Linked DNA regions of Ovis aries. The protein of the gene in region 2 interacts with the protein of the main gene of each other region in a biochemical or structural test. Links are inferred from orthologs where the notes say so. Each region holds a gene or a part of one and is shown on either strand. Other genes may lie near its edges.

Region 1 (3,515 bases), on a different chromosome or scaffold from region 2:
CCTGGAAGAACCCTTTGTAGATTCTAGAGATGCCAGCCCTCTCAGATGGGAGTTTGAGGTTCAGGCAGTGTCTCAGGGCTGAGTGCTCCAGGCCGTCCAGCGGGGAGGGAAACTTGGGGGCCAGAGGAGAGGGGGTGCAGGAGGGGTGTGTGGCTGAGGCACATAAAGCCCGTCAAGCTCTGCCTGGAGGTCCGGGTGCAGAAATGCAGCTCGGGACGGCATTTGGCACTCTGCCGGCTGCGGCACGTGGTGCTGGGTCACAAACAGCATTTTTAAGAGGATATAGTACAAAATATGACAAAAAGGAAAATATCAGACTTCCGATTTTATAGATGGGGTGTGTGTGCATCGGGTTGAGACATGAAATGTATTTCTATCACTTGTAGCCAAAAAGGTTTCAGAAACACTGGCTTAAAATAGTCTTCAAGAGTGGGAAAGAGGACATGCATTTTTTTAGGTCTGACAGTGTGTCAGCGCTGTTGTTGCCCATGAGCTTATTTGTTTCATAACTATCTTCCGAGGCAGGCACTGCCACGTCCATTTTACAGGTGAGGAAACTGAGGCTTATGGAGGCCAAACTGATTGTTTAGAGCATAAAACAAGGATCTGGAATTCTGGTTCATCTGACTCCAAAGTCAAGAGGCCCAGCGACAGAAACAACTACACAGACACACACATACACACACATACACACACATACACACACATACACACACATGCACGCATGAGTGCAAACAGGTCACAATGTCCTGGATTGAAACTTCTACCCTCCTGCTGCAGTCAAAGGCCACACACCTTGCCACTATGAGGGGAGCTTTCCAGGGAGGTGGTTCATGCTTCCGGTCTCACGTACAATACTCATTACAGGAGCTAACATCGAGAACTTGCTATTGTGCCGGGCATCTTGCTACTGCTGTACCCACAGTTACTCATTTAATTCTCCCAACAGCCTGGGAGGTAGGTGGTGGTGTTCTCCCCACTCCCTTCCAGCCTCCTGCCAGCGGGCTGGGCACGTAATCTGGACAGGTAAGGGGAAAGCAGAAGTCTGCCAGGGGCTCCTGGGAAGTACCGTTTCCTCCTTGAGACCCTTTTGCCACCCTGGCATCTCCCGGATTCCCATATCAGCAGTGGTTCTGTGAGACTGCGAGGCCTGGAGCAGTGATGCTGCAGGGTAGGGGGCCCACCCAGATTTCAGCCTGTGGAGGGGCTGCACAGCCAAGGCAATGGTACCCCTGGACTTCTTGTTGCTGGGAGTAACTGGACGTCCTTATGATTTAAACTACGTGTAGCCCAAAGCAGAGACCCCTCCCTGTCTGGGACGGACAGCCCAGGGGTAAACTCTCAGGGAGGAACCAGGGGACCCACCCACCTTTCTTCTGTCTGATTCGGAGGAGGTAGAGGGCTGCGATCAGCAGGGCCACCAGCAAGGCACACACCACGCCCACCACGATGAAGATGCCGTTCCAGTTGTTGCCATTCTGGCCTAGGACCACACACAATAGAGGTTTCATGTAGGAAAATTTAAAACAAAGAAAAGGAAAAGCCACTTCCCCTTTTCACCACGAGGCAGGCATCATTAACTGAGAATATCTGGCTCAGATGTTTCGGCCCCGTGGGCATGTCCATGGATCTGCACACACTTCCCCTTGTGGGTTACCCACAGGCAGCGCAAAATCTGTGCCGAGGTGCCAGGAGGGAAACATTGCTGTCAGCCTTGGAGGAACCCCGGCTGCAGGGTGTGGGTGGAATTGCCCTCCTGAGGAATAGACATACGTTCCTCCTCACCTGAGTGAGCCATGGAGCGGCCACCTGGGGACACAGGTCTGCCTGGATCTCCTAATGGCAGCTGGGGCATCACACACCACAGAGGGAAGGGTTGTGAGGAGGGTGACCTGCCACTGGACATGCAGAGCCCCGAGGCAGTGTGCTGGTCCATGCCTGGGCCTAGGCCCAGGAGGGCTGAGCCCAGGACACCTGACATGGAGACAGTGCAGGGGCTGGCACCAGGCACAGGGAGGGGATCCCGCAGGAGGACAGTGTGCAGTCAGGAGCAGGGCTCTGAGCCACAGAAATGCAGGTTCAAATCAGTGCCCTCACTGAGCGACCTTGAGCAGGTCATTTAAATCCCCTCATGCACTGGCTTCCTCTTACGTTATTGAGGCCAATAGTCATCTCTACTTCATTGAATAGCTCTGAGGAACACCTCACTAATCAACCAACTACTCACTCTTTCACCCTTTCTAAAAGTATTTCTTGGGTGTCAACTACCTACCCAGTCCTGAAGCCACAATGCTGAGACAGCCATGGTCCCAGCAGCTGAGACTCAAAGCTGAGAGGTCACCAGGGTCACCTCCTTCAACACTGCCAGGGGCAGGTGGAGCAGCCTAGAGACAGGCACCGACTTGTTCAAGCTCCCCAGTGAGACGGACAGCCAGAGTGGATCCACACATCCTGTCTCCCAGGGCAGGGCTCATGGTGGCATCAAAGGGCAACTTGACAGACCCCAAGGCTTCTTTAGAGCTGTCCCTTTCAGGATGCACGAAGGAAGGAAACGGCCTCTATTCTAATCCATTGAAAGGGTTTGCTATGTACAAGGGTACAGGTGATGGAACATTCCACAGTGGCACCAAAATGCCAACCAGGCACTGTCATTCTGAAGAAAGGGAGATATGCCGACAACCAGTTGGACGGGGGCTGAGACAATGACACCCTGACACCTTTCATTCTCCCAGGAGGGTGGCAGCATCACCATCATCTAGGCACTTGGGCCTAGCAACATTCCCTGGGAATCGTCCCATAGAAATAGCTGCGCATGTAACAGAATGTGTACAAGGGCAGTTAGTGCAGCACTGATCACACTTGAGATAAGCCGCAGACGCCTGGAGCCCCCAACCCGATTCCAGTGGGGCAGCCAGGGAGAGCAGGCTCAGTTCACAAAGAGCAAGGTGGAGGAGGTGGGCGGGCAGAGAATGGTGAACACAGAAGCTGTTAGTAGAAGAAAGTGAGAGTACACCACGAGCAGGACAATCCCTCTCCTTCCCTGCTTTCTTTCTTTCAAGGATATTTATGTCAAAAGATCTATAAAGAATATGCCACACTCTTACCAGTGGTCACTCTTGGAGGTGGGAATTCACTTTAAAGTTCTATTTTATATCTATTGACTTCTACATTGTTCTATAAAAAGTATGAATTACTACCTTTAATATTTAAAAAAAAAGATTAACAGCTGGGTCAGTTGCAGTGGTGACCTCACCAGGGGTTTGACCTGTGTCCTGGTCCTTCTGGGGAGCAGAGACTTCCAGGGTATGGTTTTTGGAGACCGCCGGCTGCCCGTCATGCTCCACCTGGCAGGTGAGCACCACAGCCTCCCTGTGGGCAGAGGAGTTCACCAGGAGCCAGCTCGTCTGGTTAAAGGTCCCGTCCTTGTTCTCTACGAGGATTGAGGCCGCTTCTGTTCGGGACATGTTTCCGTTCTCCAGCCAGGTCAGCTGTAGAGGCCGGGGGTAGAACTTGTT
Region 2 (4,227 bases):
CAGGGCAGAGGCAGCCGTGAGTGTGACCCCCCACATCCGGGGAGCCCCTGCCTCCCATCCCCTTCCCAGGGGGTTCTCCAGAGGGGTGGGCGGGCGCTGAAGAGGAAGAGAGGGGGTGGGTTCCCACAGGACTCTCTAGGCTGGTTTCCATGGAAACAGGAGGATGGGGGTGTGTGTCTTGGGACTGGTGTCAAACTGGAGGTTCCTGGGTATCCCTGGAGATGGGTCGGAGTGGGGGAACTGTGGTCGGTGGTCCAGGGACCAGCGCCTCCTTGTCCACACTGGGGAGCATGAGCCTCTGGGGGGGTCCCATGTCTCCCCAGCTGCTGGGACAGGCTGAAGCCTGGCCGCCAACATCTCTACACCGGAGGCCTGGGCGGCCGCACCTCCACCATAGCCATGAGGTTGCAGAAGCAGGCCTCCTCGTCGATGGTCAGGCGGCCGTCGCGGTGCAGCACGCGGTAGTGGATGACGTCGCTGCCGAAGCTCACGCACAGCACGTAGTCACCCGGGTGCCGCGCGGACTCCCGCACCAAGAACAGCCCGTCCTCGGGCGGCTGCAGCTGCTGCACCGCCTCCTGGCCCGAGATCTTCCCGTGGAACCACCTGCGGCCGGTGGAAGGGCGGGCTGGGTGGGACTGGCCGGGCCCTGCTGACCCCACCCACGTCCCAGGGGCGCTTCCCCACGACATACGGCATGAGGCTGAGCTTGGGGTCCGCCGAGAGGGCCTCGCGCTCCCGCAGCGCCCCAGCCGCCAGCAGCCCCTCCTGCCCGCTGGCGTGGTGCTTGGCACGGTACCAGCTCTTGTTCTGCCGGGAGGGAGCCAGGGGTCAGTGGGAGGAGATGTTTCCTGGAGGAGCACCCCCCTCTCTCCAAGCACATTCCCCCCTACTCACTTCGCAGGCCTCAAGGATGGTGACCACGTCGCCCTTGCAGAAGGCCAGCTCCCCGGGTTTGGGGCGCGTGTGCTCACACTTGGTGATGCACTGGGTGCCAGGGGCCCAGCGCCTCTGGGGGGTAGTGGCGAGAGTGGGAAAAGGGTCATGAGAGAGATGGTGGAGGTGGGGGGTGGGGCCCAAAAGAGAGAGAAAAACTGTATTGAGGCAGAGACCCAGAACAGACCACAGGAGAAAGGAGATGGGGGTGGGGGGTGCGCAGAGCACCCAGTAGGGGAAACGGAGTCACAAACAGAGGGACCCCCCGGGGCAGAAGATGGGAGGAAAGAGTGGGAAAAAACACCAAGTGACCGAAAAAGACCTGCGGACACTGCCTAAGGGGACACGGGTCAGATGGCCCCCCACCCCCACCCTCCAGCCCCGTGGAGCTGAGGCCCTGTGGACGGAGGAGAGGAGGGGCCTAGGCCCAGGCACCCAGTTGGGAGTACTCACTGTCGGCATCCTGGCTGAGATGGGTGAGGGGTGCCAGGCGTGGAGGAAGCGAGGGCTTCCCTGGGGAGGGGCAGAGACCAGCTGGAGAGCTCAAGATTCAAGCCAGGCTGGGGGCCCAGGGGCCATGACTATAGCTTCCAGCCTGGACCAGGTGGAGGCGACAGTCGGGCGGGCTCCCCCAAACCCCCAGGGGTTGTGGGGGGCCCAAGGGCTGGATCCCCAAGCCCCTTAGGGGAGGTGGTCTTTCCCTGGGAGAGTTCCTTAGCATGGAGCCTGGCTGCGCCGTCATCCCCAAAGGGAAACAGAGGCACAGGGCAGGCTCAGAGTGAGTGGCCAGGGGCTGGCTCAGGCCCCAGCAGCCCACACTGGGGGCGCTTGGAGCCACTAAACGGAGCCTGGTTCTTCCTCTTTTCTGGTAAAGTAGGCAGGGGTACATGAGGAAACAGAGGATGATTCAAGGTCATTCCCAAGAATCTCTGACCCTGGCGGGGGTGAGGCCCGGCAGTGCCGCCCTGCTGGGCTCCTCTGGCTGCCGGCTGGGTCTCTGATCTGACTCCCCCCCACACCGCTCCCCCCTACTCCCCAACCGAGGACAGAGGACAGAAACAAAGTCCCGCACAGTTGCTGGGGTGGGGGCATTTCTGTCCTCTGCTTTCCCCACGGATCCCACCAGGTGGCGAGAGCAGTGGGACAGGTGGGGAGGAGTGAGTCTCCACCCTAGAAATCCCCAGCCCTCTGTGTACTCACACGCATACTGATCCATGTACACACGAGAACACACAGAAACACACAGGGCTTGGACACAGGTGGACACAGGCACGCGGGTATGCAAGCAAAAGCAGTTTCTCCTAGAGACAGTTGTGCACACACGTCTCACGTGTGAACACACGCACAGACATTCGGAAACGTGTGTGCCGCCCCCCCCAACCCACACTTGAACACCTGGGCGCCACACGCTGGGCCACCCGGGCACGCAGGGCTACACGCAGGGCCGCGCACACGCAGCGCAGAGACACGCGCGCACATCCCTCCACGTGGACGCGCGGATACACACACCCAGGGGTTGCAGACGCGCATACCCGCACCCACAAAAATACCACCCCACCCGACTCCTGGGCGCATCCAACCATACCCGCCCCAGCCGCGTACCGGCCGCACGCCCCGGACGCGGGCGCTCGCACACTGGCCCCTCCCTCGTTCGCCCAGCATCCCCCTACCCGCTGGCCCTTGGGGCCCCCCCCACTGTCCTACGGTCTTTCCCCACTATCCCCTCCGGCGCCCTCACCTGTTCAGGGGTCGCCCCTGGGCCGCACTCCGTGTCCGCCCCCAGGAGGGCCCCCGCGCGCCGGCTGCGCACCCCGAGGCGGCCCCGGCTGCACAACTTGGAGCAAGTTGCTGCGTTTCCTCATTTTGGGGGGGAAGGGCTGGAATCGGGGTGGGGGGAGCGGGAGGCGCGGCAGCTTGAGCGGCCCCCGCGGGTCCTAGCGCCGGCCGCACTGCGGTCTGCTCCGCGCGCCGCCGCCACCGGCGGCCCCTCCCCGCCCCGCCTCCGGGGCCCCCGGCGCCTCCCGCGCGGCGCTGTCGAGATCCACGCCACTTCCCGGCCTGGCGCCGCGGGGCGCGCAACCCGCGCGTTCCGGGAATCCACGCCTCCCGGAGAGAGGACAGCGCTGGCACAGGGAGGGGAAGGAGAGAGCTTCCCGTCTGGGCAGGTAAGTAAGTCTCAGAGTCCAGACAACTCAGTGGACCCTTCTGACTCCAACGCCCTTAGCCAACTATAACAAGAGTCTTATTTCAGTACCTGGCCCTAGGAAAGAGCTGTTGGTGCCTGGCACAAAGAAAGCCCTCAAAATGTCAACCACCATGAATATTATCATCATCCTTGAAATTAAGGGAGAATTGAGACTAAAGGGGAAAACATCACCTGGAACTGGAAGCCTCCTGGCAGAGCAACACTGGGCCTCCCCAAGGCCAACCCAGCTCGAGCCTCGGTTTCCTCCTCTGTAGGGTCAGGCAGCACCAGCTTCCAGCTCAGAAGGGAGTTCCGTGAGCATCTGAAGGCCTGGGGGCCCAGCCCTTGCCTTTCCTCTGTGAGCTCACTTCAAATACTTTCTAATGGATGAATGAATGAGTCTGTGAGGACAAGGATGAAGCTGACCTTGGGAGGGTGATGCACCAAGATGCCCAGAATTTAATTTTCTGGTACCCCCAAAGTCTAAGTGTCTGTGCACCAAGATGTCGTGTGATTTCTGGGAATAGAGACCAATGAGAAGAATCAGGGGCTTCCCCAGTGGCTCAGAGGATAAATAATCTGCCTGCAAAGCGGGAGACACAGGAGAAGTGGGTTCAATACCTGGGTCAGGAAGATTCCCTGGAGGAAGAAATAGCAACCCCCTCCAGTATTCTTGCCTGAAAAATCCCACGGACAGAGGAGCCTGATGGGCTACAGTTCATGGGGTGGCAAAGAGTTGGATACGACGAGCAGCTAAGTGCAAGACAAGAATTAAAGATATTCAATATCGTGCAATATTATGCACCAAAAACTAGGAAACTGTGTATAAGAAAATGCTAAAGTCTCTAGTTGTCAGAAACAACCACCACTTACCAGAATGTGATAGAAAACACACTGTGTGATCCCATACAGGTTGTACAGGAAGCAGCGTGTCCAAGGGGAACAGTCCAGCAGGGGCCCCTTGAACCTGCAAAAGGTTATTCCCAGTGAAGGAAACAGGCAGGAGGGGAGCAAGAGAGGGGGCGTCTTTCTCTGTGGTGGTGTAATGTACTAATACTGGCAGTGTTTGCCGGGAGGTTTCCTGCTCATCCGGCTCTCTGGGCTCA

What was found. The genes of interacting proteins can lie anywhere in the genome.
Region 1: the proteins of MATK (region 2) and SIRPA form a complex in vitro, tested with the Homo sapiens proteins (3 studies listed by BioGRID, with this or other methods). The link is inferred for Ovis aries from reciprocal best matches to the Homo sapiens genes MATK and SIRPA.

What each region holds. Positions count from the first base shown.
Region 1 is NC_056066.1:52,923,742-52,927,256, forward strand, and holds part of SIRPA (tyrosine-protein phosphatase non-receptor type substrate 1), read right to left. Parts: coding exon 3,254-3,515; intron 1,484-3,253; coding exon 1,370-1,483; intron 1-1,369. UniProt on the Homo sapiens protein: Immunoglobulin-like cell surface receptor for CD47. Acts as docking protein and induces translocation of PTPN6, PTPN11 and other binding partners from the cytosol to the plasma membrane.
Region 2 is NC_056058.1:17,991,763-17,995,989, reverse strand, and holds the start of MATK (megakaryocyte-associated tyrosine-protein kinase), read right to left. Parts: upstream 2,802-4,227; 5' UTR 2,675-2,801; intron 2,238-2,674; 5' UTR 2,143-2,237; coding exon 2,137-2,142; intron 1,532-2,136; exon of another isoform or gene 1,450-1,531; coding exon 1,390-1,449; intron 1,012-1,389; coding exon 898-1,011; intron 811-897; coding exon 695-810; intron 607-694; coding exon 387-606; intron 1-386.